Linked DNA regions of Rhinolophus ferrumequinum. The protein of the gene in region 2 purifies or fractionates together with the protein of the main gene of each other region. This does not show direct contact. Links are inferred from orthologs where the notes say so. Each region holds a gene or a part of one and is shown on either strand. Other genes may lie near its edges. The genes, in order: RPL14, YAP1, RNF187 and WWP1.

Region 1 (7,282 bases), on a different chromosome or scaffold from region 2:
GCCTTCTTGCCTGCAGCAGCCATCTTTTTTGCTGGAACCTTTGCAGCTGCAGCTGCTGCAGCTGTACCTTTAGCAGCAGGTGCTTTTTTGGGAGAAGCCTTCAGAAGAGCTGCCTTTTGAAGCTTCCTAACTTCAAGCTTGATTATTCGGTTCCTCTGAAAAATTTCAATACGTATTTGTAAGTACGTGTACAGAAGACAACCCGTATGTCCAAGACCCCTATGAAGTCAACTTTGGTATACCAAGCTTGGGTAAACAGAATTACCAGACAAATTTAGGGTTAAAATATAACAATCACGTAATAATTTTAAAACTTACCATTTTCTTTGCCTTCATGACTTTGTAACGATCAAAATCTGTCATCTTGGCTTTCTGTTTTTTAAAAAAAAAAATCTCTCATGTCACCTTCCAACCTCCAGGAAAAAAAAAAGGTCAGAATTGAAATGACTGTAAGTTATTACCTTTTCTCTGGCTTCAATCTTCTTGGCCCATCTTGTGGCTGCCCATTTTGTATTGATATCTGCCTTCTCCCAGGCTTTTCGGACATACTTCTGGCGGGCACTAGAAAGAGCCAAGACCATCAATTAAGGAATCAGCTTTGAAGCCACAGACATCCAAGGACAGCTTTGCGTCCTCTGAAAAGCACAATTTATATCCCTCAAGTTAAAAAGCATATACAAAATGATGCCCAAAGTACCCTTCCCATTCACTATACTTCTAGCTCTAGTTGTCTCTAGAGAGCACATACCACTTGGCACACTACAGTTTTACTCATTTGAATATTCACTAAACCAGCTTATCTTACTATCTCAAACACAATTTTAATAAAAAATGCAAAACAGCCAATGTTCAGGATTTTAAAATCAACTTTCATGTATAGAATATCACCCTGGAGTCGTGAATATGTACAAAGCAATTTCCTTTTCATCAAGAATGAGGTAAAGTTAATCCTTAGACCTAATGTTTTTATTTTGTACAAAAACGCTTAACGATTTGATCATAAAATCCAATTATAATCATTTTGAAATTTATCAAAACCCAGTGTGCTTAAATAAATAGTTACAGCATGTGTGCCACTGCAACTGCATTTGCAGTTGGTAATGACAGCAACACACCACAGTGTTTAATTTTCACAATCTACACGTCAAGAAAAAATTACTACCGATCGCCTCAATTCCACATAAGCAGCTGGGAATAGAACCTCTGTGGTGGCTGCCTGCCATATGAGATGATGAATGTTAAATACTTGTAACTAACATGTTAAAAGTTCAACTAATGACAGCTAGTATTGGGAAAGACAAGCTAGAATTTTTGTTTTGAAGCTGTTTATTAAAATGTGAACAGGAAACCAGAATTCCTTAGGGAGGTCTTTGTAAATCCTGAAAGAGGGTAAAAAAGATGACGGCAAATCTGGATAAACGCAAATCCAGAGAACTACCAGATCACAGAACACTTAAAAAGTAACTAACGCCCATCTATTTCTACATTGTAAATTCCTCTTCTGAATTGCTTTCACCTTTCAACTGTTTACTGTATTCTCAAGGGAAAAACAACAAAATAACAAAAACATTTTTTTTAATTAAACGTTTTTCTAGTATAAACAAAGCTGGGGGAGGGTGTAATGGTTGGTAGACAGTTACCTGTGTGGGAACTTGAGGATGAAGTCAGTGAGCTGCATGCATTTGAAAGGCATTGCCTGTCTCCTTACTTGAGTGCAAGGTCCATCAACCAAAGCCTAGAATACACAAATAAGATGAAGATCTCAGTACAGAACTGAATATTCAAAATAGACAGATATTCTCTAACAGTCGTCCTTTCAGAATTATCAAATCCCCACTATCTGCGTTGGTGGTACAGTGGTGATTATAGCTGCCTTCCAAATCCTCATTATTTAGATGCTTTTTAAAAAAGATTAAACTATTAATAGTACAGCATATAACCCAAGTAAATATAATTTACTTGACAATTTTAAGTCTTTAATTCTTAACATTTCAAATAACTTCATGTTCATTCACAGCCTTTGGTCAATCCCTTAGTTTGTGGTTCTCAAATATTGACAAGAGCAAACAACAGCTTTCTCTGTGCTTGGCTTTGTTCTAAGTTCGCTTTACATATAGTAACTCATTTACACTTCACCAATGTATTTACCCATTAGTTAAAAGCTCTGGCTAGTTTAAGCAGCAGGGGTAATACTTAAACCCAGCAGTGCTGACCAACTCAAGTCTGTACTTGAAACCCCTACTCTGCCTGCTTCTGCAAGGATAAAATAAAGCCACCATCCAGACTACTCCCCACTGGGACGACTGCCATTTATACTGCTGCATACCATCCACTGCCATGTGATGTGACTTTCCTTACACTTACCCTGTTCTGGTCAATAACATCTACAATCGCGACCAGCTTCCCGGCATGAGGCCCAAAGGAGATGTAGGCCACCCGGCCAACCTCCACGAAGCGCCTGAACACCTAAAATGCGGGTTGAAAAAGGAGGAGGAGAACAGAGAAACTAATTAAAAGTCTCCAGCTTATCAGGCTTTGCCGCTTAAAGGAAACATGGGTAAGAACGATGAGGGGAACACGTCCAAGTGCCTGGACGACCCGGATGGACAAAATCCGCAGACTGCGGCAAAGCCGGGTTCCCGCAGGTCTCCACGCCCCCGCCCACTGGCCCCAACTCGGCAAGGTCCCGGCGGCCGCAGTATGGCTCTGGCGGCGGAGGCGCGCACGCGTGGCCCAGGCGCGCCGGGCGCTCCACGCGCTCCTAGGCCGCGCGTCGGGCAAGCTCCCAAACTCATTGCTCCACCCGATCGGGGGATCTTCACCACACGCTACCCAAGACCCGCTGAGCGCCGTTCGGCGCCTCCGCTCCCAGGCCCAGACAGTGGTGGAGCTGCATGGCCGCCAGACCCGGAGCCGGTAAGAGCGATACTCACCATGTTGGCGGCGTTCGGCGAGAAGGAAGAAGGCCCGCCCGACAGTGCGCAAGTGTAGAAAGCCGCCCCGCCCCCACGGTAAACGAGACGCCGACGTGGGCACCGATTGGTTGGGATTGGGGCATGCGTACTTACTCTCACTCAAGCGCCCTCGAAAATGTGGCGGAGCTGGCTTTAGTGTGTCTGCTTTGTTGCGAGCGCGAGCTGCGTGGCTGGCTTCGGTCATCTGGCACTGGAGTTGCAGGAATTTCTCTTAATATTTTAGGGTGAAGAAGAGCCCAGAAGCTATGACTCCAATATAACTCTACACATTCCATTTTACTTTCTTTTTTAACATTCTTCCAACTTTGAATTACTCAGTACTCTCCCGTTTTTTGTCTAAATGTTACTCACGGCTTAGTACTAGATTTTTTTCTCCCACTAAATGACCCCACTAGTATTGTTAACATTTCATTTCAAAGTAATTAAGACTTACAGAAAAGTTGCAAAGCTAGTACAAATGATTCCCATAAACATTTCTCTTTAGATTCCCCAAATATTAACGTCTTATGTTTGCATTATCATTTTTTTTTTCTTGAACCACTTAAGAAATTGCAGACATGATGTTTCTTTATCTCTACACACTTAAATGTGTAAAAACAAGGACATTATTTTACATAATCAGCGGGATCAAAATCAGGAAATTAGTACTATGTAATACGGTCTATTGTTTAATTTGCAGTCTTATTTAAATGTTACCAATTGTCCCACTTACAGTTTTTAGAGCAAACGAAAAAATAAATTTTTGTCCATGATCTAATGGAGGATTTACAAGTTGCATTTAGTTATTCCAGATGTTTAAATCTGCAACAGTTCCTAAGCTTTACCTTGTCTTTCATAATACTGACATCGTAAAATACAGGCTAGGTGTTTTGTAGAACATCTCTCAATATGGATTTATAGTAGTTTTCCTCATGATTACATTCAGATTATGCATTTTTGTAGAAATGCTGTGTCCTTAATGCATCATATTGGAACACGTTTAGGATAGCTTTGTCCTAATATGACTTTATTAAGGTGGTGATAATTGTGCTGACAATTCCCAAATTTATTTCAGTCTTTTCCTCTAAACTGTATGCCACCATTGCTCCATTTAATCTATTTTTATTAGTCGAGGGCTCGTTTAAAAAGAAAATAGATCACATCTTCCTATATAAAACACTTCAGTGGCTTTCTACAGTATTTAGAATACAATCTAAACTCCTTACTCTATCTATATACAAGGCCTTGCATCATGTGCCCCTATATCCAAACACACCTTATAACATCCCTTGTTCCCCTTCTTCACTGTGCTTCAGCCACACTGGTTTTGAACAGGCCAAGCTCTCTCCTGCTCTATGACTTTCACTTGGTGTTTCTGCCGTCAAGAATGCTCTTCCCTCTGTTTATACTCATTGCATGGCAGTGCCAATTCATCTCTTGTATTGTTTTCTAGAAATAGCTCTTCTCAGAACTTAAGCCTGACTGCCACATTAAAAAAAAAGACGTCTTGCCTGTTTTTTAGCTCAGCTTTTTGTTTTCCTCAGACCTGTTATTACAATTGCAATTGTTTGACTCATTTTTCCGTCCACTTAGGTTGTAGTTTTGCATCAGTTGGAATAAGTTCCATGAGAGCAGGATCTTGGCCATCTTTTCTTAGCACAATACCTGATAAAGAGCTCAATAAGTGCGTAGTGAATGAATGAGTCTTTAGGCTCCGGTATCTGCTTTATAATTTACAAAGCAAAAGACATGAATGACGTTCATAGCAGTACTTTTGTAGTAATAGCCCCAAACTAGAAACTACCCAAAGGCGCATAAACAAGAGAATGGGTATACTGAGGAAGTCTAGCAATGGAGTCAACAACTACCTGGAACAACATGGATGATTTCATACACAGCAGTGAAATAAGTCAGACACAAAGACTATGTGCTGTGTGGTTTCATTTATATCAAGTTGAAAACAGGCAAACTCATCTGTGGGTGTTGAAAGTAATGACCCTGTTTACCCTTGGCGCAGGCAACAGTGGGCTGGAGCTGAAAAGGGACTTCTGAGATGCTGCTCTCGTTTCTTCATTGGGGGTTGGTTACGTGATGTGTTCAGCTGGTGAAAATTCAAAGCTCTACCCTTATGATTTGTGCATTTATTTTCCCCAAATATATGTTAACTTAAAAAAAATTTTTTTTTAAGTCCTCCAAATGTTCATCTTTATCCCGTTCCACAGAATCAAGTCCAAACTCCACAACCTAGCATTCACGGTCCTGCACAATCTCACCCTTCTGCCTCCGTAACTACAGGTCTCTCGGCTTTTCATGCAGTTGGGCTCCCTCTCCTAGAAAATGCTGCTCCCCTCTCCTAGAAATAGAAAGTGCTGCTTCCCCTCTCCATTGAGAAAGCGCGTCTTTGAGGAAGCATCTCAGGACCCTTTCCCAAGCGGCCCCAGGCGGTTTTCAGATTTCTCCGAAGCTCCAACATAAGGGCAAGGTAACTCTACGTCAGCCTGATCTACCTCGCGAGTTCGCGGGCATCCAGAAATAAGCAAGATCATTATTAGCAGCTAGTGACATAAACCACACGACCAGACGGAGCACACGCCGAGCTTCGGTTGGCCGGCCACGCCTTTTCCGGGACACGCAACCGTTTCGTCCAATCACGAGGAGGAAGGGCAACTGGTGAACGACGCCAGGATCCAAGATGGCGTCCTGGGCCCTCTCAGACGTTTGTACGGCGTCTCCCTGCGTAGCCAGACCCTTGCGGTAGGTCACCCCGCTAGTCAATCACCGAGAGGAAGGGTGCAACAGACGTGGCGTCGGGGGTCACTATTAAGCTTGGAAGTTTTCCGCAGGTCCTTGGCGGGATTTGTTTTGGGAGCTGTGTCCTCTTAAAGCCCATCCCCTCCGCGATTGCTCGTGGCAAGAGGTGGATGTGAGGGTCCGGGCGGGGACTCGGCTTCGGGTTCCTGCCATGAGGCACTGAGCGGAGAGATAGCCTGGTCCTGGTCCGGACTGAAGGACGCCCCCTTCCCCGAAGCATTTCCAGAGTTTCTGAGGGTGTCATACTGGCCAGGGCTGTCCACCTGCAACCAGCTGAACCCCAATATTCCTGTCAGCTTCAGCTGAGTAGATGTGTCTCGTGTTCCTTTCTTTTCTCTTTTTCTTTCTTTTCCTCAGTCACAGGGGATGGAGGTGTCAGCTTAGCAGACAAAATGTCTGGGGCCCAAAGTCTAAGCCTTTTCACGAAGTGAACCCAAAGCTACCTAGAACCCTGACTTCTTTTCTGGCTCCTGTAACCTTTGCGAGATGTGAACCAATCCCAGTTATGACCAAACTGGCATGACAGTCATGTGCATGCCTACTGGACATGGTGGACAGGTGCCTGCATATTTAGGAGTGAAAAAGTGTGTGTTACGTCTGTTTTCAAAATTTGCATCTGTGGAGCCCTGAAGCTGAGCCCAGTCGACCTGAGTTCACCAGGAATAACCCTGTAGTCCAACAAAGGCAGGTGCATTTGATTCATTGTAAGGGAGACTACATATCGGAGACACCATGGACCATTTAACCAAAGGAAAGGAAAAAGGGGGAGGTTTCATTCTTGCTGATAAAATTTCAGACGCCAAATTTTCTGAGTGTTTGATTTTAGAGAACAAAGTTTCTCAGTGAGTAAGAAAGCAGTAGTCCCTCAAAGGATAGGGTTATTATGACGTTCAACAGATGTAGCATGTTAGCAGAAATATTGTTTCCTGTTAACTTGACAGCTATCTTTATTTGTTGCTGCTTTTCCTGCCTGACGAATGGCCATGCAGACTTGACTTTCTTAATCAGCTCGGTACCTGGTCCCAAGCACTTTGCATTTACTGAAGACTAAGTCTGAGATAGCACTGTATGAGGCATTCAAGGGAGAAATTGCCTACCTGCACAGGTGTAGAGCAGAGCTGCAGAGATGGTTGGCTGAGTGGATGGATGTTCCCAGGTGACAGCAGCCAAATAACATCTTTGCTGCCCTCAACACTTGAACCTCATTTCCTTCCCCAGCATGAATCCTTCCCCTCTCCATCCTGGCCACTGTGCCTATCCATGTCCCACCTGGGGGCTGGAGAGAATCAGAATCCGACAGAGACACCCTGGAAAGGAACAAGAGCTTGCCTGGGCTGGCCCTGACGTGTATTCCTCAGGACATCAAGTATGTGTCAGGTCTTGGGGGACTGTGAGCCTTACATGTTTTGACAGAGTGGCTGGGATGCTCTCTGAGTTATTCAGTTTCTATAGCAGTACTCGGAACTTGCCCCAGGACAAATGTGTCTGCTGAACATATTTTTGGGTTTTGCTCTCTG
Region 2 (7,677 bases):
TTAATGGTTTTAAAAACGTTTTTTGTGCCACGTGTCATGTTGAAGATACACTTATGTCAAAACAACCACCACAGAATGTTAAAACTATAAACAAATTAGAATCACTGTTTAATAAATCTTTTAAAATAGGATTAATTGTCAGCTTTCAGGTAAGATTCAAGACAGGTAAGATTTTTGAGATCCTTTACAACATAAGTGTTACCAAATAGATTTTTTTTGAATTATCAAATACATATTATATACTAGATATAGATATTTCTAGAATAAATGATGAAATTAAAGAGATACTTATCTATAAAACAGTGAAGGTATTTACCTTGATGCATAATGGTTACAAAGTAAGGTATATAATATTTATAGAATAAAAACAGAATGTGGAATATACTATAGAGTAGTCATTCTCAAACATTAGCATGCCTCAGAATCACCTACAGGGACTTGTTAGAACCCAGATTAAAAAATAATAATAATAACAAAAAAAAAAAAAAAAAGAACCCAGATTGCTGTGTCCACCTCAAGTTTCTCATTCAGTAATTCTGGGTTATGGCCTGAGAATTTACATTTTTAACAAGTTTTCACTGATGCTGATGCTGCTGGTTTGGGGACCGCACCTTGAGAACCATCCATAGGGAGTATATTTAGTATTTTTAGAAGATACCTTTTCATTTTTAGTGTCATTTAGTAAAGTATAGTAAATGATGAGATGTAGTAGTCTTTCAGGCCTCGATGTAGAAAGCACAGGCTGAATTTGACAATACATATTGCTCATAGCATTTGAGAGGCTCTTTAGGGCCTCCATTATATGCTGCACTCAGTTCTGCCCTAAGCCTAAAGGGCCTTGTACTCCAATACTTTTCACATCCCGCTGTCAGAACAAACTTTAATTTCTCCCATGTGGATAACTTCAGCTAGATTTTAGAAGAAAAAGAAATTTTATTTAAAATGATTTCTTTTACTGCAGTATCTATGACTTTGCATTTAAAAAACCAAAATTAATCTATTATGGTATAATAGGAAAAATATATATGGTATTTGAATGGAGGAGATCTTTCTGCAATGGGCCTGACAGGTCCTCCGATATACCAAAAGAATAGGATTGAGCAATTTACTCGTGCCCCCAACCCTTTCTGGAAGGTTGTCATAACCTGGTGAACTGCGTATTAGTTTAGGCAACTAGCTCACCCAGATAGGAACCTGAGTAGAATTGCTTATAAATATTTTTTCTGCTATGAGGGGAAAATGTCCACCATACAACCAGTATTAGAGCAACCAATTTAAATGAGTGAAAGGTTGGCACTCAATTTTTACAAAGAAGTATTGTCATAGAATGTGGCTTATCTAAACCCAACTGATACTGCATAACTAAACAGGTGAACATGAGTTTGGTTTTTAAAGTAATGATTTACATGTAGATGTTCATTTCTGAAGTGCTTTAAAATTGCCTATTCTCTAAAATTGGTAAACAGATGACACTTTGAACAAGGGAGTGGATTGTGATGCCATTAACTGAGATGGTGAATCAGAGGAGGATGTGGCTTGGGAGGGTGTGGCTGGAGGTGGAAGAGGGTAGAGGTAAAGAGTTCAGTTGTGGATGTGTTGACCCAGAGGGGAAATGAACAAAAGCTGAGGAAGTGAAAAACAGGCATGTGGGCTGCTCTTTCCAAAAATGTGTATGTACAGGGAAAAGCTTGTATACATTTCTGTAGGTTCAGGGGGAGATTTTTAGGGCTTTTGTGCATGGTGGTCTCCTTTCTCTGAGCAATGGGAGGTGATGTGGTTTTCTGAAGGATTGGGGGCTGGTGAATAACCATGAGAGTGGTGAAGTTTAGAATAGCCATTATCATGGATGAGTGACGGGCTGATTGCAGACGCAAGGAAACATGGTTAGAGACTATAAGTATGGAGAGATACCAGCCCACTCGCCTGAGAGACTCCCTCCAGTTGTCCCCAGAAACCTGGGTGTCAGCCAGGCTTTCCAGAGGCTGAGAGAAGCTGGATACTTCCTCTTTTCAAGCCACCAGTATACTCAAGCATACTGGAATGCCAAAACAGGATTACAAAACCAAGGTAGGTTTCAAATGTTTACCCTTAGTAAATTAATTATTTTACCACACAATGATTACAATGCAATGTTATTGTGCTATTCACTAGATACAGAATTTACATAAAATATTAATCCATATTGCATTACAGAGTGTCATTGGGTAATAGCACCAACTTTAAAGTTCTACAATGAATGCCTTCTTGTGATTATGTAGGTGTATCTCAGGGATGGGAGTATAACTCCAGTTTGACAAAATGTCAAAAGCTTTTGTTTGAAGATTTTAATGAGTGTGGGACCCAGGCCCCCATAAGCCTTAGATGTTGGAATGGAAAAGACAGGTGACTTGATTAATTCAGTTTTAAAAATTCAGTTCATTGAAATACATGGGGCAATGGAATTGAGGGCATAGATGATTAAGAGAGGTTGAAGCAATGAGTTATGATTTCTAAACTGAATTGGGAAAGAAGTGAAAACAGGAGGGAGTGATAGGTTGGTAGAAAAGAAGGAGGTTAATAATAAACGAGGTGTAAATAATGAAACCAGAGAACCAAATGGCTATTAAGAGAAGAGTATAACATACGTAGTTTGATTTCACAGCGGAAGTATTCTGGATGATGATCGGTATGGACATAGGAGCAGGTGGCCAAAGGGAAGTAGAGATGAGGGTCCTTTTTATGTGAGAGGGCAAGTCATTGTAAGACTAGCATTTTGATAGTGATCTACATGGTTATTGAAAATGATCCAAGATCATGGTGGGTCTTTGTATGAAGAAGGCGACTCCCCACTTCAAGGTGCCTTAAACTGATAATTGCTCCAAAAATGGGGCTGGAGAGGAAGAGAGGGGACAAAGGATTGAATACATGTTATCATTATCCCTTACTAACCTGTGATTGAAATTTTATAAATGAGGAATAGTAAATTACAAAATCTTGGTCAATGCTATGGAGGTGCTTACAGAACATAAAATCACTCCAAACAGTCTTTCAAATCCACTTATCAAAGTAATTTTGTTCTCAGTTTAATGGCAGGTGAAACAATACTGAACAAAGGAACCTATGCTGTACCCTAAGCCCTTTAATTATAGTGTTCATAGTATTAAATGCTCTAGTTAAGGGACAGCTTCCATTACAATCCCAAGTTTTTAATCACTTTGGTTCTTAAAAAGTCTTTTTCCTTTTTTTTTCAGTTGAAGTTTTTAATGCATGGTTTCTGCCCAAAGGCTTTGTGTGGATTGATTACTGGATAGGCGAGGAAGGGGCTGCCAGCAGCATCCTGAGTGGGGGTTGCTGCAAAGGAGAGGCTGTGTACTTACTACATGTGAAGTGGTCTGTGAACATGGACAACAATGATAGCTGACGTTTACGCAGAACTCATCGCAGGCCAAAAACCGGGCTACGTACTTACTTTATACCCATTGACTCATTTAATTCCTCAACATATGAAATAGCTGTTATTACCCCTAACCCCAATATTAAAGAAATTAAAGAACAGGAAATAAGTAACTTGTCCAATGTCTCACAGCTAGTAAATGGTGGAACTGGGACCTGAACTCGAATCTCTGTAACTTCAGAACCTACAAGTTCATGGTTAAATGCACTTAACATTTTTGGTATGGGAGTGGGGATAAATCTAAGAAGCAATCAGACATCTTTGAGGGGGATTCCTTTCTCACATGCAATTGGGGTCCAGAGCAGTTGATTAGGACCTTGCTTTAGAATCTCGAGGGCCTGAAGCCTCTTCCCCTGGCCCTGCCCTACCAAACCAAATGATACACATCCCTCCTCAAAATTCTCCTGGGCAGGTCCTGGCTGGAGGAAGATTACCTTTTTGCTCTGGGGACTTTTTCTTGCTTCAACCTATTCATACATCTGATCCACTAGCGTTATAGACAACATCACTAAAACAAGAAGTTAGATTTTCTTTTAGAATGGGCTAGTGGATTTAAAATCAGAGTGATGCTACACAACTCTGAATACACTAAAAACACTGAGTTTCTTAAATGGCTGAACTGTATAGTATGTGAATTATCTCAATAAAGCCGCTTATTAAAAAAATCGGAATGTATGAGTTAAATTTTGTTTTCATTGCTTTTAATGATTTCAAATGGACTCCTTGCACTACCACATGGAGAATCAGGTGCCTGGGTGAGCTCCTCTCCCATTCATTTTTTCCTTCAGTCGACATTCATGGAGTCCACCCTTGTGCCAGGCACAGAGATAACAAAAAGGGGTGGGCTCACACCCCCTTGAGGATGAAAGGCAGGTACAGAGAGGAATGCTTCTAGCCAAAGTTGAGCACTGATTCTTTGCGCTGAGGTTTTCATGACTATGTTGCAAGTTTCAGTGGTTAAAAAAAAGGTTTTCACTTTTAAATAAGGCAATTTTGTATTTTAGTAAATTACTAGTCACTGATTAATCTCAGAGCTTCAAATTCCAGTAATCGTTTATCCCTTTCAAGGAGTTTTTTTGCATATTACAAAGTGAAAAACATCAAGTTAATGTTTTTTAAAAAAAGGACCCTTATTAAAATAAGTGCCTGTTACGGGTATCTATATTCACTCCAACCTATCCTTGAGGCTTTAAACCCGCATTGGCACTCCGGTTGGTCCAGTCGAGCTAACGCGAGGAGGGTTTAAGTGGATTTACGCGTCCCCTCCCGACGTCTTTCAGCCTTAAGCATTTCGGGGCGAACTGAGAGCCTTTCAGCCTTTCCCGAGGACTGGCCGGGAAAGGGCCGGGCTGGGCGGGAGGACTTCCTGCGGCCAAGGGCGGCCGCGCTCGCAGAGACCAGAGCCGACCCAGACGGGACCCAACGTTGGTCGCCGGGCCGGCAGCGCTCACAGCCCGGATCGACGGGCGTGCTCCCGGCCCGACCGGGAAAAGCCCCGGCGGAGGCCTGGGCTGAGGGCGACTTGGTCACGTGCGGCCGGGAGGGGCGTCCGAGGCCGGGAGTCTGCTGGAATGTAGTAACTTGCAGGGGAAAGTTTCCCTTGGCGGCCGGTCCCGGGACCGGTGCGGGCGGGCGCGCAGAGGAAGGAAGAGCCTGGAGGAGGCGGAGCCGGAGAGCGGCTCGGGCGGGCGGTTCTCTCAACTTTAGTTTTGGCGTTTGAGGCGAGTTTCTGTCTCAGTCGGGCGCAGCCGCCGCCAGGGAAAAGAAAGGGAGGAAGGAAGGAACAAGAAAAGGAAATAAAAGAGAAAGGGGGAGGGGAAAAGCAACAAGCTGTCTGGCATCCGTCAAAGGAGTGAAGGAAAAAAGTTCTCAGGCGCCGCAGGTCCGGGTCTCTCGCAGCCCCTCCCGAGGCGCAGCCGCCAGACCAGTGGAGCCCGGGCGCAGGGCGGGGGCGGAGGCGCCGGGGCGGGGGATGCGGGGCCGCGGCGCAGCCCCCCGGCCCTGAGAGCGAGGAGAGCGCCGCTCCCGCCGCCCAGCGCAGCCCGGCCCGCCGCCCTCGCCGCTTCTCCGGTCTCGGCCCGTCGAGCCGGGGCGCCCGGGCGGAGCCCTCGCCCGCCTGGTCGGGGTGCGCGTCGGGGGAGGCAGAAACCATGGATCCCGGGCAGCAGCCGCCGCCTCAGCCGGCCCCCCAGGGCCAAGGGCAGCCGTCCGCGCAGCCCCCCCAGGGGCAGGGCCCACCGTCCGGGCCCGGGCAGCCGGCACCCCCGGGGTCCCAAGCGGCGTCTCAGGCCCCCCCCGCCGGGCACCAGATCGTGCACGTCCGAGGGGACTCGGAGACCGACCTGGAGGCGCTTTTCAACGCCGTCATGAACCCCAAGACGGCCAACGTGCCCCAGACCGTGCCCATGAGGCTCCGGAAGCTGCCTGACTCCTTCTTTAAGCCGCCGGAGCCCAAATCCCACTCCCGACAGGTAACCTCGCCGCTCCTCTGCCTACTTCCCCGTCGGGCGGGCCCCGGGCCCGGGGGCGGTCGGGAGCGGCGGTGGCCAGCCCTGGCCGGGAGGTGGGGGGTCCGGGAGCTCGAGCGGGGCTGGGCTCTCGCAGAGAAGTGGAGGAACCGGAGGCGTCTGCTGGGCCGCGGTCACCGGCTCCCCGCTCCTCCCGGAGTCTGGAGCCGAGATTTGTTTTTCCCCTCGGAGTTTCTCTCTGCGGTTGCAGCCCCGGGGGGCGTGCTTTCCCCCTACTTTCTTTCTTTCTTCCTGGGGTTCCCGGGAGGTTGGCGGGAGTGGCGGGGGAGGTGGGGAGGAAGGAAGGGGGTGGGGAGAGCCGGCCCGGGCCGCGGTGGGCTTGCACAATGCGCGCGCCTCCGCGCGCTCAGCACCTTCGCTCCCGCCGCCGCCGCCGCCGCCGTGGGGAGGGGGAGGGGGGCCTCTGGCATTTGTGTGTGGGTGAGTTGCCAGCGGCGGCCGAGTTTGTGAAGTTGAGCCCCGAGCCCCCTTTCCTTCGGGGCCTCTCGGTCCACTTCAGGCTCCTGGAGAGTCAAATAATTGTTCTCTTGTTTTCCAGTGTTGATTAGGGGTGGGGGTTGATCCAGTCCCTGTAGTTTCTTACTCTTTCTCCCCCTCCCCCTCCCGAAAGCATTTATTTTCCTCGCGGCCCCGGCGCTTTATGAATACAGGATCCAGACTTTCCTGGAAGTTGTTTATGGAGTTAGTGCTTTCACCCCTGTGTTTCCCTTGTGCCTTGGAACTCGGGCAAGCTCACTCTTATCAAACTTAGTAGGTTCACGTGTTGATTTCCCAATTGTAGGCTATTATTTACAGTCTGCTGAAATGCTTTTAAATTAGCCACATCTGCACGTTGCGCAGGACCTGAGCTGCGCTTTACCGTGCCTTGGTTTTAACACAAGCCTTTGAAAATACACTGCAGGTTGACTCATCGCCGAGTCCTGCCTCGTTCAACTGTGATTACAAGTTAATGTTTGGGAAGCGATGACTAATTCGAGACTCGCCATTGCTTTTTAATTCTTATTGAGGATATGAACATGGCTGGTCGCCTACACAACGTTCGATTATTTTGTCAACTTGATGCAACATTGAAGTGAAACTATTATGAACTTGTTAACATTCCAACAGGTCCCAGTAGATTTGTTTAGTGTAGGTTTTTCTTTCTTTCCTTTTTAAAAAAGAACTTGCTTCAGGCTAAACTTCAGCATAGGAACTTTGCCCAAAAGTTAATTGGTTTTCCAAATACTGCGATGTAGTTAGTCCACTCGGGCTGTAACTGGAGTGGAAAAAAGACTTATCGCCCCCACTGCCATTCCCCTGTCTATTTGCAGACCTGTTGTATGTTCTCCTGCCTCAGGCCAAAGGGTTTTAGAATTCAGAAGAACTTAACCTGCAGACTAAAACCTGGGTTATAAGGAGGAAGGGAAAACGAGATAGCTGCTTGCCTAAACCCTTAAATTTGTAAGAAGTAGACTTAGGTATGCTTTTCTCTTCATGGAAGTGGGTTTCTGGACTCATGTGTTGGCATTGCACCCTACAGACTACACAGCTATGCTGCTAGTTACTTAATATGTTTTGAAAGTATAATACACATAGGAGATTGAATTCCCCATTTTGTGGCATCAATAAGCCAAAATGAATTGCAACTGAAAAGTGTACTTATTCTTCTAATAAATAATCACACAAGAATTTATATCCAGCAGTTTATGAATTCATACTATTCATTGTCTACTGAAG
Region 3 (7,939 bases), on a different chromosome or scaffold from region 2:
AGGCAGAAAGAATAGGACCTGGCGAGGAAGGCAAGGAGGAGGTGAGGGAGACAAAAGAGGGAGATGAGATTCTCCCTAAGAAAAAGTGCAGCTACCAGACTGGCCAGAACTAGATTAGATTTCAAGAGCAGATCCAGGAGGCCATCTTGCCCCTCAAGATGAACTTTAGCTAATTATATGGATTATAATATGATTAGCATTGTGGTTAGTGAAAATCTCCACCCCCCTGTGTCACCAGGACATGTCCGACCGAGCCAAATAAGGACAAAAATTCCTCCTCCATGGGAAGGAGTGGTCAGCAAGGACCCACCTAGGAATGTCTATAAGGCCACCCCTAACTCTGGAATATTTCGCACCTTCATTTTTAGTGAGATAAATTCCCAAGTCTCATTGTTCTTTGGAGCAGCTGCTCTTCTCCAGACCTGCCTGCTCTCTTCACCTTGAAAGTGTACTATCCTTTTAATAAAGCTGCTTGTTTGGCTTATTAGGTGCCTTCTTGAATTCTTTCCTGTGGCATACACCAAGAACCATTTTTTCTTTTTATGGCAACACCTTGATAATCATAAACCCCAAGGCAGCGGAAGACAGTAGCCAGGACCTGACCAAAGGTCACAAAGTCTGGACTTCTGGCAAGATAAGATAACATCTTCACCTAAGTTATGTTTCAGCTCCTGAGCCCTAAGGCGGAACAACACCCTGGCTGCTTTCCTATGAGACCAGAAAGAGGGACTCCGGGAAAGACTTCAGGACTGTCCTCAAGACCTGGATTATTTATAAGAAATGATGCATTACCCTTACCTCTCAGTACAACCCAACCTCCAATCCATGGTATATTGTGATTTTTTTATCTTGTGTGATTTTGCACCACACAATCTGTAACCTACACGCCATCAGGGAGTCAGGTCTTTAGAGCATAAACTCCCCGGCTCTGGATTGGCCAGTTCAATATCAAACCATTTTCCTTTCTACACTGAAAACTACTTCTCATGCATTTTTTTTCGATCAGTATTTTGAGGGATTTTTAAAGGCTGAAATTAGGGTTAGAGGTCAAGGGTAAATTAGTTAGTTCTTATGGAAGCTTCAGTGGTTTTCCTCCGGCTGATTAATTTAGTGCCTGCAATCTCTGGTGACTTCCTCACTGTGGTCAGGTTATCTGGCTGGGTTGAAGCCAAGTTCTGCAAAACATCTCATCAGTGCAGTCAGTGAGGTTATCTTTAAAACAAAAAGCAGAAACTAAGCATCTCATGACCATCGTTATTGTTTAAGCTATCATTTTGTGCCTTACTAGCTACATCTTTCTATTGTCTCAAGCAACATGTACTTTCACACACTTCTCCTGAACCTTTACAGGCAGGCCTTCAGGACATGACTAACATACTTTATAATCTTTGACTATAAGTGGCTAACATACTTTCTTAATCTTTGACTATAAGCTATGTGACAACCAAAGCAATTGAAGTTAAAAGCCTATACCCTATATCTCTAGACTCTATGATCTAGTACCTAAACGTATTTACTGTTAATTGCCGGTTCCATAAATAACCTAATTCTTACAAATGTCTGAGGTTTTTCAGCACAAAATGTGGGCACCGGCAGGAGATCAAAGTTGGGAGCAATCTCAGGGTCCAACAGCCAGAAGTGAAGAGAGGAAATGTGTGGCCTCCACTGAGGAACTACAGAACAGGAAGTAATGCACTCTATACCCACAGAAGTGTGGGTGGAGCTGAAGAACTGGGCAGAATGAAGAAAGCAGCATGTCTAGCATGGGACTTATGTAAATTAAGTGTGCAGTATGAACACTGAAGAATACACATTTTGTCAGAATTCACCCCAAAACAATGTAGTAAACAAAATAGAATGGTTGCCAAGTGGAAGGTCAGAGTCAGAAAAAATGGGCATCACAGGAAAACACATTTGGGGATACAGATACATATATACATGTATGGATGTAAACAAGAGGGGCCTCACACAGACCTGTGATGGTAGTGAGCCTTGAGCCACTAAGAGTGAGTAGTAATTCAACCATTGTATGAATAGCATAATATAAATACAGGGGGAGGAGGGTGTCAAAAAATGTATACAAGTGGACATTTTGGTCAACAGTTGCTCAAGTGGTAGTTTGCAGTAATCAGATGTGTCTAAACGCTGATTGATGGTAAACACTCTGAGCACCTCTTGTAATTGCAGAAGTCAAACGTGACTTGTATTCATCTTTTGTTATCAGTATATATTGAGTATTACAGTTTTAATAATTTTTTTCCTTTCTTAAAATGTGTATACATATTTTTGGTACCACCTGTATACTTCAATGCTGTGCTGTAGTACCAGATCGCCTGGTGGGGAAGGTATACAGGGGGTGACCGCAGTCCTCCAGGCGGGTCTGGCGCTGGGGTCCGGCTAGGCGGGCGCACAAGGCGTAGGGAGGACAGCACAGGCGGTGGGACTTCAGGGCGGCAGCAGTGCAAGCGTCCCCGGCTGTACGGGCGCGGGGACCGGGATTGCAGGGGTGCTGGATAAAGGAGTATGGGAGCGCAGGAGTACCGGAGAGCAGGAGTACCTTGGTACAGGGACGCTCGGGGTGGGGACAGGGGCTTCCCCTTCCCAGTAGGCCCGCTCAAGCGCAGTCTCAGGCCGTCGGCGTCAGACCAGCCACAAACTGCAGCCTCTGGTATTTATCTGAATGGCCCGTCTGAATTGGTTCAAATTCAATCCAGCCCGCCCCCCACGACAAATCGATTGGCTGAAGCTCCTTCCGGAGCTTTCCAAAGCTTCCTTTATTCTACTGTCTTTGCTTGGCCGCTCGGTTAGGTGTCTGAGTCTGGAACTTGTTGGGATTTATGCTCATTTGTGCCATAATGTTTTCACGCATCTTTGGGTGTACTCCTGACTTCCTGATAGGCGTGTAATGCAGGAGTGCGGCTGCTGTGGAGTCCCAAGGGGGATTTTAGAAAAAGCCGCGGACGGACCTGGGGTGTCTGGGGTATGTCGGCGTCAGGCCGGCTGCCCGCCATACCCCTCCGACATCCCTCCCCCCGCCCCACAGCTCTCCCTTCTCAGGTCCAGACCACCTCTCATGTAAATATATAAATAGGAATATAAACATAGAATATAGAAAATTCTTGTCATAAAATCTCCTTAGTCTTGTGTTTTCAGATCTATGTGTTTTCTGTATCTCCTCCACTGCTACTGGGTTGAACACCCCTTAAGATACTTTAATTTCTGGGCTTAGATAGGAAATGAAAATAAGAGAAATATATACAGCGCACACTTGGGGAGGGGAGATCACACCGATCGTAGAGCGGGAGCGGCTCCGCTCTGGCGGCGGCGGGGTCCCGGACCCCTGGGCACCTGCAGTCTGCCCCTTAGGACCATGCAGTTCTGGAGCCCCGGGAGCGGCTGTGCTCTCCCGCGTGGCCGCGCGTCCGTGTGGCGCTGAGGCTGGAACGCAATTCACATGTTCCGCAGCCTGCGCCTCCATCACAGGGCACGCTGCTGCCTCTCAGAGCCGGCTGCGCGGCCCTGTCCCATCTCCGCTGCTGTGGTCGCCTGTACTTGACTCACACCTGCCGCTGGGATTTGATTGCAGACCTTGTCTTTTCTATTTTCTGAAACAAAATGGAAATGGACACAGGAGCGGCTTTGGCCGACGTGGGCGTTTAGGAAGGACCACCCCAGGAAGCGATGCCGCCACCTTGGGCGGGATTGATACAGGCCAGCACCTGCTTTATCTCGGGTCCTGCACCCGGGTGTCCGTGCAGAGAGGGGGCAGGGCCTTGGAGAGAAGTGTCCCCAGTCCCCACCACGCGGGCATTCCCTGCGTGACGGGAGGACTGCTTTTGTGCGCGGGATCGCTGGGAGCTGTCCAGAGGACAGAAGCTGCCTGGCAGTCTTTTCCTTCTTCGAAATCCGGCTGACATTAGGTAAGGCTTTCCTCCTCTGCAGAGCTCCCCAGCACGCCCTGTGATTTCACCCCCGCCTTCCAAGAGCTCTCAGCCGCAACTATTACCGGAGAGTGGGCCCTTCTTGGCGCGAAGTCTAGGTTCTTGGCTTCTCCAGCAAAGAATTGAACCAGACACGGAAATAAAGTGGTGAAAGAGTAGTTTATTAGAAAAGACAGTACACTCCAAAGAAATAGAAGCGACCAGAGCAGCAGAGAATGGCTCAATGGCCCCGGCTAACCAGACCTTGGTGGTTTTGATCTCTTTTTCTCTCAAATGGGATGTTCCTTTCCGGGCATAGGTCCACTTGATTGACGTCTGGGATTGACAAGAGGCTATTACCTCATCTTTTTAGACTGCTGTGGGAACAGAGCCCCAGAGAGCAGTTTCCAGGCTCTCAGCCTCACGTGGAAAGGTGCTGGCTCGGGTACTAGATGGCAGTTGGCTGTGGCTAGTTGGCCGTCAGCTGTGGCCGGTTAGCCAATTGGCCACTGATATAAGTGTCGCAGCTGTGGTGGAGAGTTGAGTCGTCGGTCGGTTGGCAGAAAAGCAGACAGCAGGTCGCAGGTCGTGTGAATCCAGCCGCCAGCGAGAATATAGTGGTATGACTCCCCTACCTATGGCTCTGTGGGTGTTCCTTTTTGGCCTCACCATATCCTATGTTCTTATGTGGGGAGCGGGACCAGAGACCCCGCATGACAAATGGCACAGCAGGGTATGGTGCTGGGCAAAACTCACCGGAGGATGGTGGAGCAGTTTATGCGTACAAAAGTTCAGCTTCGGGAGGCCGGCGAGGAGTGACACCGGGAGCGATCTGCCTGGGAGACTCGAGCGTCCAGATGGCGCACTTCCCTCTTGGCCATGGAAGGTGTTGTCCTCTTTTTGTTGATCTGCTTCTGCTGTAGGCTCCGAGGGTTGTGGACATTATACACCGAGGCCACCACCCACTCAGACCTCTGGCACGGTGAGCAGGATTCCAACCAGGTAGGAATGGAGTCTGACTCTGGGCAGGAGGACGTGTGGCCCCCACACAGTGTGTGGTGCCCAGTGGCCACTGTTCTCAGGAGTTGGACCCCCAAGGAGGGGTGGGAAGACATGGATGGCTCTCCAGCCAGGGTGGAGAGGGCCCTGCAGGCTCTGGCTGAGCAGTTGCCGGAGGAGGAGAAGGCTACAGCCGGCCGCGTGGGCTGGATGTTCCTCACCGCCTTGAGTCTCAACACGGAAAATGCGCCTAATGAAATAGCCCAGGTGCCGGACCAGGTCTCCCAGTTGGAGGCGCTGGAAGCTCGGGTCCCCCTGTTAGAAGAGGGGCCCCACAGTGGAGACTGTGAGGCAGAGGCGGAGGAGGCGAGTGGAGACAATACAGCTCCTAACCCCCAAGCCCAGCCAATCTTGAAACAAAAGGTAAAGCATGAGCAACCTTTGGGCCCCGCCGGCAACCCAGCTGTGACTGAGTTCACAACCTACACCCCTTACACTCCCACTGAGTTGCAGGAGCTGGGGAGGCGGTACAGACAGCGCCCTGGAGAGCCAGTCTCCGCTACTACGTTTATGGGATGAGGGAGCAGACAACATTCTCTGCTCCCCAGGAGAGATGGAAAAGCTAGCCTTTGTGACAGTGCATCTGTCCCTGCGACAAAGGTTACAGAACTGCCATAGGTTGGCCCAAGACCAGGGCAACCACTCTAATGGAGTGACTCATTGCTGCTGTACGCACAGTATGGGGACAGGCTGGCGAGCTGCCAGACACTGTGAGTCAATGGCAGTCATATATGGAACTTACGCAAATCATCCATGAAATGGGTATGAGACATGCTATTTTCAACCCTATTATGCAGGGACCTGATGACGAGCTCTTTACAGCCAGCATGAAAGATCTGGTTTTGGATACTGTACCTGCGAGTGCCTTTGGATCCTTAGTTGCCATTCTTACGCTCTATGTGGGGTGACGGATCCATGAAGTTACAACTGCCATGGTCACCCTAGAGTATGTTGAAAGCCAGAGGCGAAGGAAGTTAAGACAGGACGTCCGCGCAGTTGAGACCTGGAAGCCCAAATCAAAAGTAAAGGGGTGAGGTCGCGGGCCTCAGAGAGCAACACGCGCACAGATGTGGCATGATCTTGTGGCAGCAGGGGTCGATCAGGAGAAAATAGACCGACAACACAATAAACTCCTGCTGGAACTTTGGAAACAGTTGCATCGCGAACAGCAATTCCAGAGAAGCCTAAAGGAGAAGTCTGGGAAAGCGCGACCCGTGTCCCTCCAGGACTTCATGCGGCCACTTGAGGCCGACTCCTTTCAGCTTGATTAGGGCTGGGGCCAAGGTACCCGGTCAGAGGGGACAGCAGGGACCAGAGGCCCCACGTGGAACTGTCCATACATTGGTCCCCTTCTAATGTGCAGAGGGTTTTGGCACTTGTTGACACTGGCGCAGACTGAAGTCTTGCTTATGGGAACCCAGAACTCTTCCCCGGACCAGCAATCTGCATTGATGGGTACGGGGGAAAGACTGTGACTGTGAAAGCTGTTTCCTTACCACTGGGTATAGGAAGGCTTCCCCCTCGTACCTACAAGGTGTATGTCTCCCCCGTTCCGGAGTATATTCTAGGGGTGGACATGCTACATGGCCTCAGCTTACAGATGTCGGTAGGAGAGTTCTGTCTCCAGATCCGGGTGGTGAAATCCGTGACACATGGACATGCTCACCACCCTCCTCAAGTGTTGCCACAGCCGTGGCGCGTGGTTACAGTGTGACAGTACCACCTGTCAGGAGGACAGGAGGAGATTGGTCTATAATATTGGAATTGGAGAAGGCACATATTGTGAGGCCAACGCACAGTCCCTTTAACTCCCCAGTATGGCCTGTCAAGAAGCCAGATGGGACCTGGCGAATGACTGTGGACTATAGGGAGTTAAATAAGGTGATGCCACCCTTGCACGCGGCAGTACCTTCAATACATGATTTAATGGATTGTCTGACTGTCCGCCTGGGGACATATCACTATGCAGTGGACTTGGCCAATGCTGTTTTCTCCATTGACATTGCACCTGAGTGTCAAGAGCAGTTTGCTTTTACTTGGGACGGGTGGCAGTGGACTTTTCAAGTCCTTCCGCAAGGATACTTGCACAGCCCCACTATCTGCCACGGGCTCGTGGCCCAGGATTTGGCACAGTGGGATCACCCGTCCTCTGTGGCCTTGTTTCATTATGTCGATGATATTCTATTAACATCAGATTCTCTTTCTGATTTAGAGCAAGCAGCTCCCTCTCTTCTCTGCCACCTGAAGTCACGCGGCTGGGCAGTGAATTAGGAAAAGGTCCAAGGCCCTGGCTTATCCGTCATGTTTTTGGGTGTTGTGTGGTAGGGGAAGACAAAAGTTATACCTGAGGTGATTATTGACAAGATACAAGCCTTTCTCCGGCCAACCAAGGTCTCCCAACTGCAGACATATTTGGGTCTGCTAGGATATTTGCGGGCGTTTGTACCCCATTTAGCACAAATGGCAAGGCCCTTGTACAACATGATAAAAAAGGGGGCCTCATGGGATTGGACAGAGGCTATAGAGCAAGACTTCGTAGCCACAAAACGGGCAGTGCAGCAGGCACAGGTTCTGTAAGTAGTGGACCCCGGCCGCCCATTTGAACTTGATGTTCACATAACCCAAGAGGGGTACGGATGGGTCCTCTGGCAATGGCAGGAGCATTTCCGGTTGCCAGTGGGATTTTGGTCCCAATTATGTAACAGAGCGAAGGTCCACTACTCACTAATAGAGAAACAGCTGGCTGCTGTGTATGCAGCCCTAGTGGCCACAGAAGCCATCACAAGAACGGCACGGGTGTTGGTTCGAACAACCTATCCCGTCCAGGGGTGGGTCCATATGTGGACCCAGGGACCCAAAACAGAGGTGGCACAGACTACCACTCTTGCCAAGTGGGGCGCCTACTTGGAGCAACGGAGCACCCTTAGTTCAAGCCCTCTGAGCACAGAGCTACAACAGGT
Region 4 (7,865 bases), on a different chromosome or scaffold from region 2:
GTCTTGGCACAATATTTAGTGATATAAATTTTATGTGCTTGAGTTCTAAGTTCAATTGATTCAATACTTAATTTTAAAGGCTATCATACATGAAAAAGACACTTCAAAAATATGTCAATACAAGAGGACAAAGTATATCATTGTCTTTAGATATTAACATATAGTACTCATTTTTCATTCCCAGTTACGCCAAACTTTTTGTTGAAATTCAGATAGGAAATTCATTTCACCTCAATGTCACTTTGATGTAGGCACTGGGTTAAAAAAAAATAACAGAAGGATTCAAAACTCTTCATTTGCAAGATGTTTAGATAGGATAGAAAATTCTATTTCAAATCCTACTTCTTTACTTCTATGTGACACCATGGTAATCTTAACACCATTGTCAATCTTATTACATGTAAGTAATGAAAAAAATTAATTCATATGTTGGACCCACAAAATGGATGCTGCCCCAAAAAGATTAGATTATTTAATGGAAAAGTGAAATTATCAAACAAGTCGAAAAAAATAAGGCAGGTAAATGACATGATCTCAGGATAGGAGAGGACTTGTGAAACAAAATATAATAGAAGAAAACAAAAATGGAAAAGACCAATACTTTTATCTACATTATATATAAATTGCCTTTTTGCGAATATTCCAGTAAGAAAACGAACAACGAACCAACAAGAGGATTCCATATTTCCCATATAAAAATATACCATGATGACTTTGAGGAGTGAAGATAGGGAGTATACACAATGGAGTCACTTTAACCAAGCTGCTGAAATTATTACCATTATGAAGGCTGAGACCTGAGGAGACCATTCTTGTTCTAACTCGCCTGGAAACTTTAACTCCTTTGAGCTTTCCAGTCCTGCGTCAGTGCCTGAATAGACATGTGGATTTCCAGGCAGCCCTGTAATTACCCCCCGGGGACTCATATGTCCAGGCCACCTGATGACCCCCTAAAGGACTCATGTATTCATCCCCATGACATCTGTTATCCAAACCACTGATCTGACCATACCTAGTACCCATTCTTGGGACCACCCGGCATCCACCATCCTGCCTGTCATCTGATTGATAATTGTCCTGGACCAATCTTAGGGCTAAGGAAGCAAGACTGATAATTCTAAAAAATGTACTTTTGGCTAAAAATTTTTAACTTTTCTTTCTTCTTTGAAACACTTCTAGGTTTTCATCGAACTGTGTTTCCGGTTTGCAAACTCCAAGACCCTTGAATAAATATCATTTATTTCTAGCAAAGCCTCCAGACTCTTTTTGAGTTTGTTCAATAAATTTGGTATAGTAAAGGACAATTATACACTCTCACATAGTATTATGGGAATTTGATAACAATATCGCAATAGTAATTTATTGATTATGTGCCATGTAATGCTAGGTATTTTATTTGTAGTAACTCATTTACTTTTTACAAAAACATCATATGGTAGCCTTATACCGGTTTTCTGGTTGAGGCACAGTCAACTTAAGGAATTTGGCTGAATCTCACAGCTCATAGGTGGCTACAGGGTTGACTTATCCAATTGTCACAGCACAGTACCTCAGGCTCACCGTACTTTTGTGTGTGTTCCATGCTATTGAATTGGCTCTGACTCCTGGAGACCCTGTAAATGAGTTATGTCCACAGTGTCCTGTCCTCACAGGCCTGCTCAGCTCCTGGAGACTCAGCCTGTGACTTCCTTTACGGAGTCAGTCCATCTCCTATTTGGTCCTCTTTTTCTGCTGCCTTCTATTTAACACAGCATTATTGTCTTTTGCAAGGAACCCTGCCTTCTCATGATGGGCCCAAAGTAGGACAGCTTCAGTTTTGTCATATCTGCCTCCAGTGATGTTTCAGGCTTAGTTTTCTTTAGGACCCACTTGTTCATCTTTCTGGAGGTCCAGGGTATCCGTAAAGTTCACCTTCAACACCATATCTCAAATGAATTATTATTTGTTTCCTAACAGGCTTCTTCACTGTCCAACGTTCACATCTGTACATAATAATTGGGAAGATGAGGGTGTGGATGCTCTTAGCCTTCGTCTCTAATGATACATCTTTGCTCTTGATGATCTTTCCTAATTCTTCCATTGCTCCCTATCAAGTCTCAGCTTTCATGTAATTTTTTTGGCTGCAGGCTTCATTTGAATTGATGACTGAATCGACTGAAACAAAATCTTTAACAATTTTTATGTTGTCATTGTCTATGTTAAAGTTGTGTACTTCTTCTGTAGTCATGATTTTTGTCTTCTTGATGTTCAAATGTGGTGCTGATTTGGCACTTTCTTCTTTGACTTTCATCAGAAATTATTTCAACTCATTGTGACTATACTTTCAGGGGCCCACAAAAAATGTTTTAATTTCTTTTAAAATCAGAAGAAAAACAACTGAATGTTCAGGTTGAAGAAAACGTTTTAATGTATGCAATCAGTAAGTTCACGTTTATGTCAATGCAGTTATAATTTTTAATATTATTTTATGGAGGAAGAGACCCACAAAGATAAAAGCATGTAGGACCCATGAAAGTCTGAATGTGGACCTGTGTGGCAGAGCTGCATTTTGATCCCACGCAATAGGGACATCTAAGCCTAAGTACTTTCTGGAAGGTAACTTGCCGATGTTTCAAAAGGGCTAAAACTGTTCATTCATTTGATTACTTTTTAATGATTTAAACAGACAGTAAGTAAGGACATGGACAATGATTTATGAAAATATATTTATTTGTAATAGTGTTCATTTGAAACCAAAGAATATATAACAATAAAAGGATGTCAACTTAGGGACCTAGGTGAATACTAGGAGCTTCTGAATGGAGCTGAACTGAGGGGGAAACTGAGGACTCAAAAGTGCTGGAAGTGAGATTGACTCAAGCAGGACGCAGAAGGAGGCCTGTATGTATTCTGGACATGGACTGCAGACTTCTGCTGGGCGTGTGTATGTAATGTCTGAGAGTATACTTGTATAATAAGTGTGTTCTTGAATTTATTTTTAAGGGAACTGGACAGGTGAAGAAAAGGTTAGAATAAATAGTACTCGGTAAAGCAGAGAACAGTGAGCACAGTCAGGGAACTCTGAAGCGTTTTCATAACAGGAGAGACCAAGTATTTGAACATAGAAGACTTGAAAATGTTAATCTTTGTTTTGAAAGCCCCAAAGAGCCAATAAAAGATTTGAAGCCTTGGAGTGACATGCTCAGATGGGTAGTTTAGAATAATCATTGTATATATATTGTGCCTCGCATGTAGGTATGACATAGGAGGGTGGGAATGATGCATTGGAGTGGAAAATAATATATATTCATTCAAACAAGAGATATTTACCGACTCTTACAAATATTCACGGAGTGTCGATGCTGTTCCTAGTACATGATTCTTTTAAAAGCTTAGTTATGACAGAAGAGAGAGAACTAGAAGGAGGTTTTAAAGTCAAAGGATAATTTAAGACAGAAAAGACTTAAAACGTAATTCTGCTGAGGAATTGTTGCCAATAGCAAAGGCGGGAAACCTTGCTATGACAAGGACAGGGTCACAGGAAAGAGCAAACAGTGAAGAGGTTCACATTGGAGAGGTTTCAACTTGGGCGTAGCTATAGGTAATTTGTTGCGGCTGGGTGAGGCAGTTGGGCAAAAATTGTAGAAATCCATGCTCCGTAGCCTTTATTATGTCTCTGAAGTTACAAAGAAGCTCCTGGTACTGTATTTTGACCAAGGGGACTGAGGCCTGCCCCACCCAATTGGAGCTACACAGCTATATCCTCATTTGTATCTTTACTGACCAATCAGTGGTTACATAACAACCAATCAGATCACATCATTCTGCCCAATCAGGACAGTGCAATTTGGACCAATCAAACGGTGCAAATTGGGATTCCTCATTTGCATAGAAATAGACCAATCAGGCACCAATGGGGAACTTCCTCCATATAAGCAGGTTTCCCTTTGTCTCTGGTGTGTGATCTATGGGTTTCCTCCTGAGGCTTCCTCCCTGGTGTGCAAACTGTTTACCTGAATAAAGTTTCTCCTTTCTTGGCATCCCATATGGGGAACTCCTATTGCCATAGGCTTGGCGGCAGCGACCTTTTGTTGACAAGGTCATCTGGTGAGTAATGGGGTCACCACTGACTTCCATTTGCAGTGGGACCTTTTTCTCTAAACGCAACATGAGGAACCAACAGCATCTCTGCAAACGAGCGAGCCATTTGTATAAATGGGGATGACAGACTCTTCTTTATGGGACTGCTCTGTGGGTTAGTTACAATGACACACGTACTTGATCAGTGTTACTTTTATCATTGTACTCATGGTGGGGTAAGGGGAACAAAAGTTTGGTGACTAATAATGGCCTGGAAAGTCTTTGGCTGAATGCAATTATTTACTCTTGCAATGGTTTCCTGAAGCGCCCAGCTAGTTCAAGGACTATTTATAAACAGCCTAGCTTTGTTGTAAAGCGTTCCACACTGGAACGCTGGTGCCCCGAGGTCCTCACTTGAGGTGACGCGCCATCCCGCCCCAGCCCGAAAGTCACGTCAGCAGCATGCACCTCCAGCCTTGAGTAGCTTCCCCCCAGTCTCCGCCCCTCCGCTGCTCAGGCCCCACCCTCCGCTCCTCGGGCCCCGCCCCCCTCTCCCATTGGCTGGCGCTCCCTGTCCCCCGACCGCCCCGAAGACCCGGAGCAGCGGACTTTCCCACAGGCGTCGCCGGGCTCGCTGGCTGCGCATGCTCGGGGAAGCCCGATCCGGTCCAGAGTCGGCGGCAGGGCGGCCGCGGTGCAGCGCGGGTCGGCCGGCGGGGAGGCGCGCTCCCGAGGAGGGAGGTGTGGGTCGGCGGGGGCGGCGCGCGGCAGGGGTGGGTGGGGGGAGGGCCGGGTGTCCGCGAGCTGATCCGAGTGGCTGCGGGCGGCCTGGGCTGCGGGGCCGCGCCTGCGGCGAGATGGCGGTCCTGGGCGCCGAGGGCTGAGGCGCCGCCGCGGGGGACGCGCCGCTGCGAGGCCGCGGGGAGTCGGTGAGGACCGCGGGGCGCGGGCTGAGGGCGGGGGGCGCGGGGCCGGGCACCGATCGCCGGGCGGGACCCTCGGAGGCTGCCCGCCCGCCGGGCCGGACTTGTCTGGGGCGGGGTCGCGAGTCCGCCCGAGTCGCCCTGGCCCAGGCCCGAGCGAATGATACCCGAGCGGCGCGAAGTGTTTCCGTGACTGCAGCCGCGGCTGTCCAGCCTCCTCAGCTTGTCGTCCCCCTTTCCCTGACACCGCTCCGAAAACACCAGTGTGGACTTCCCGCCGGTGCCCCGACTCGCGCCTCAGCCCGTCCCGGGCGCAGGGCTCCCGCCTTGGGACGCCTCTTCCCGGCTGTTTGGGTCACTCCCGGGTCCTCGCGGACTGCAGCGCCCCAACGCAACCCCACCTCCACCTCGGTGACCCGGTCGGTCCCAGTGACCTTGCAGTTTTCACTGGTCCTTATCTCATCGGTGACTGGGACCTTTTCCTGGCGTCCTTTTATGCACAAACATGAATTTCGTAGTTTGCCCCTTGCGTGGAAAGGCTCGGGCTTGTGCCCTGCACGGTCCTTTCTTCACTCCATCGATTTGGAGTGCAGCCTCCTTCGCTCCCGTAATTATAGGAAACCTTCAACCAGAGCAGAGCAGTACCTATTCTTGTGACCTTTTTACTCTTCCAAGTAAAATCATTTCCAGGGGCCTGACGTGGCTTTCTTTTTCTATTTGGTAAGTCTTGTATCTTTCTGTGTAGCCTCATGTTCAAAAAGATTTGAGTGTCTGCTTTGATGTGCTGTTGGCAGGAGTGGTGGAAAAGAATAATGTCCAGAGTTATCTTTCGGGCCCTTTGGTGTTTTTACGTGAAATACCTGGTGAGCAGTTGTATGCGGGTTTCGGCAAGAGGTCACACGGCGCGTGTACATCCACTTGATCTGTCTCACTAGGTCTCTGGGTGTATTATACAAACAAAATGCACCTTTTTAGAAAAGAAAGGCATTCTTTTATTTATGTGACTTGTTTGTTAGCTATAAAGGACTAAATTAACTCTGACTGGAAATGATGACTTTTCATAAATAGTTAATATTTTTTAAATTGAAACTTAGTGGCCGAGCGTTGGGAGGTACTCAGGTTGAGAAGTGTAAAAAGTATGTGGAGGAGGTCTTTCAGATGTAGTTGACTGACATTTTCACACAGTTTTTCTTTGCAACACGTAGGCTTTGGAAAGCTGAAAGGAAGGGTTATGTTTTTTGGAGGCCATGCCCGTTAGAGAATGTCACAGATAAAGTCTCTGCTTTTAAAGAGATAGAAATCTTTGTTGTTTACCCCACCAAGTCTGAAATTTCTTTTACTCCTTTGCAGTTATTGAACACCTACTACCATACGTGCGATTGTGCGGTATTTTGGGGAATATAAAGATGAGGATGATAACAGTTTCTGCCTTCACAGACAAGTTGGGCAGATGGGACTATACACAAATGCCTCATTTGTCCTTTAACAGATAGTTAAGCTACATCCAGAATCCAAATTCAGAAGGGGTAGAGCTCACAACCCGTTTGGCAAGGTGGGGTTAGGGAGGTTAGTTGTAGAGCTTCTGGCTTCCGAAATCTTTGTTTTAAGGATGACTAAGACCCTTGCTAGGCAGGGAAAGGTGTAATCCAGGCAGAGAAGGGACAGCACAGACGTCATACATTTGGGGAGAGGCAAGTAATTATGCTGGGATGGAACATAAAGTATTTGTACCAGTAACAAGGAGGATAAAGCTAGAAGTAGAAAGTGGGCCAGTTTATTATTGCGTTTAATGCCTGGCTAATGACCTTGGATTTAGTACGTGGTGGGGGTTTTACAGATGATTTTTGAGTTAGCAATGTAACGATTACAAGCTTTGTTTTCAGAGGATCAATCTGGCAACATTGTGTTGTGTGAATTGAATAGAGAGAACCTGGGGGTAGAAAGACCTCTGGATTGCTGTGGTCATAGGTAGCGGTGTCTGCGCTGTGGCCGGTAAGAATAGGACTGGAAAGGAGGAAGGAAGTGGATTAGACAGAACTGCTGATGAAAGAGAAAATGAAGAAAGTGAAAATAACTATGATTCTGATCCAGGTTGGTTGGGAGAATATAGTGATACCATTTTGAGCAACCTCTATGGAAGCTTCGTCTTCGGCACGTGACTGTCACTTTGCAGCAGTACTTGTCAGTCATTTGGGGATTAGTAATCCTTGATGAAATTAAAGTAATCTGCTGGCCCAGAAAATTTCCATATGCACCTGTGTTTTGTGGTTGTAAATTTAGAGGTTGTCCGTGGACCACCTGAAGCTCATCCATGGAACCCTTGGTCCAGTGGGTGGGCTTGGAAGCAGCTCTCAGAATTACTGGGGGCCTTTTAAAACAATAGAAGCTTCAGATTCTTCCACTACTGATAAGAACCCCTATTGTAGAGACATACTGTAGATACACCTAGAGACAGTATCTCCTTACACTTGTATTGTGGTTTGCAGTGAATTTTGACTTATTTGCTGTTATATTACAGAGCAAACTAGCCCAAGAGGTTAAGTGTTTGCCCTGAGTATTTCAATCATGAGTGGGTAAAGTGGAATCAGGAGTTGATTGACAGTGATGGTTGCTTTCTTGTATGAAGATGTTTTATATGCAACTGATTTACCATCATTGGATATTGTTACTGCCTTTACGTGACCTCATCAGTGGGGTCTAGATGATCCTTGGGAGGTTCCTTCCAGTTCTTAACATTTTGTGATTTGGGGTCTTAGGTTTTCCTTGGACTATCTGTACCTTGTTTTCCATGTGCGGGGGAGAGCTGGTGAGGCTGAGGAATGAACTGGGCATATAGAGAGTGACATCAGACCAATCATTTACTTATTCCTTTGGATGGGCGGG

What was found.
Region 1: the proteins of YAP1 (region 2) and RPL14 purify together in Homo sapiens (affinity purification with mass spectrometry, with the first as the bait; 3 studies listed by BioGRID). This does not show direct contact. The link is inferred for Rhinolophus ferrumequinum from reciprocal best matches to the Homo sapiens genes YAP1 and RPL14.
Region 3: the proteins of YAP1 (region 2) and RNF187 purify together in Homo sapiens (affinity purification with western blotting; 3 studies listed by BioGRID, with this or other methods). This does not show direct contact. The link is inferred for Rhinolophus ferrumequinum from reciprocal best matches to the Homo sapiens genes YAP1 and RNF187.
Region 4: the proteins of YAP1 (region 2) and WWP1 purify together in Homo sapiens (affinity purification with mass spectrometry; 3 studies listed by BioGRID, with this or other methods). This does not show direct contact. The link is inferred for Rhinolophus ferrumequinum from reciprocal best matches to the Homo sapiens genes YAP1 and WWP1.

What each region holds. Positions count from the first base shown.
Region 1 is NC_046300.1:12,791,832-12,799,113, forward strand, and holds the start of RPL14 (60S ribosomal protein L14), read right to left. Parts: upstream 3,007-7,282; 5' UTR 2,937-3,006; coding exon 2,934-2,936; intron 2,467-2,933; coding exon 2,365-2,466; intron 1,736-2,364; coding exon 1,641-1,735; intron 562-1,640; coding exon 462-561; intron 373-461; coding exon 319-372; intron 156-318; coding exon 1-155.
Region 2 is NC_046294.1:71,670,993-71,678,669, forward strand, and holds the start of YAP1 (transcriptional coactivator YAP1), read left to right. Parts: upstream 1-4,674; 5' UTR 4,675-5,365; exon of another isoform or gene 5,366-5,485; 5' UTR 5,486-5,583; coding exon 5,584-5,904; intron 5,905-7,677. Other genes in the region: CFAP300 (cilia- and flagella-associated protein 300), read left to right, coding at 3,231-3,400. UniProt on the Homo sapiens protein: Transcriptional regulator with dual roles as a coactivator and corepressor. Critical downstream regulatory target in the Hippo signaling pathway, crucial for organ size control and tumor suppression by restricting proliferation and promoting apoptosis.
Region 3 is NC_046307.1:1,322,613-1,330,551, forward strand, and holds the start of RNF187 (E3 ubiquitin-protein ligase RNF187), read right to left. Parts: upstream 3,012-7,939; coding exon 2,967-3,011; intron 2,510-2,966; coding exon 2,326-2,509; intron 1-2,325.
Region 4 is NC_046297.1:1,989,007-1,996,871, reverse strand, and holds the start of WWP1 (NEDD4-like E3 ubiquitin-protein ligase WWP1), read left to right. Parts: upstream 1-4,851; 5' UTR 4,852-4,988; intron 4,989-5,445; exon of another isoform or gene 5,446-5,702; intron 5,703-7,865. UniProt on the Homo sapiens protein: E3 ubiquitin-protein ligase which accepts ubiquitin from an E2 ubiquitin-conjugating enzyme in the form of a thioester and then directly transfers the ubiquitin to targeted substrates.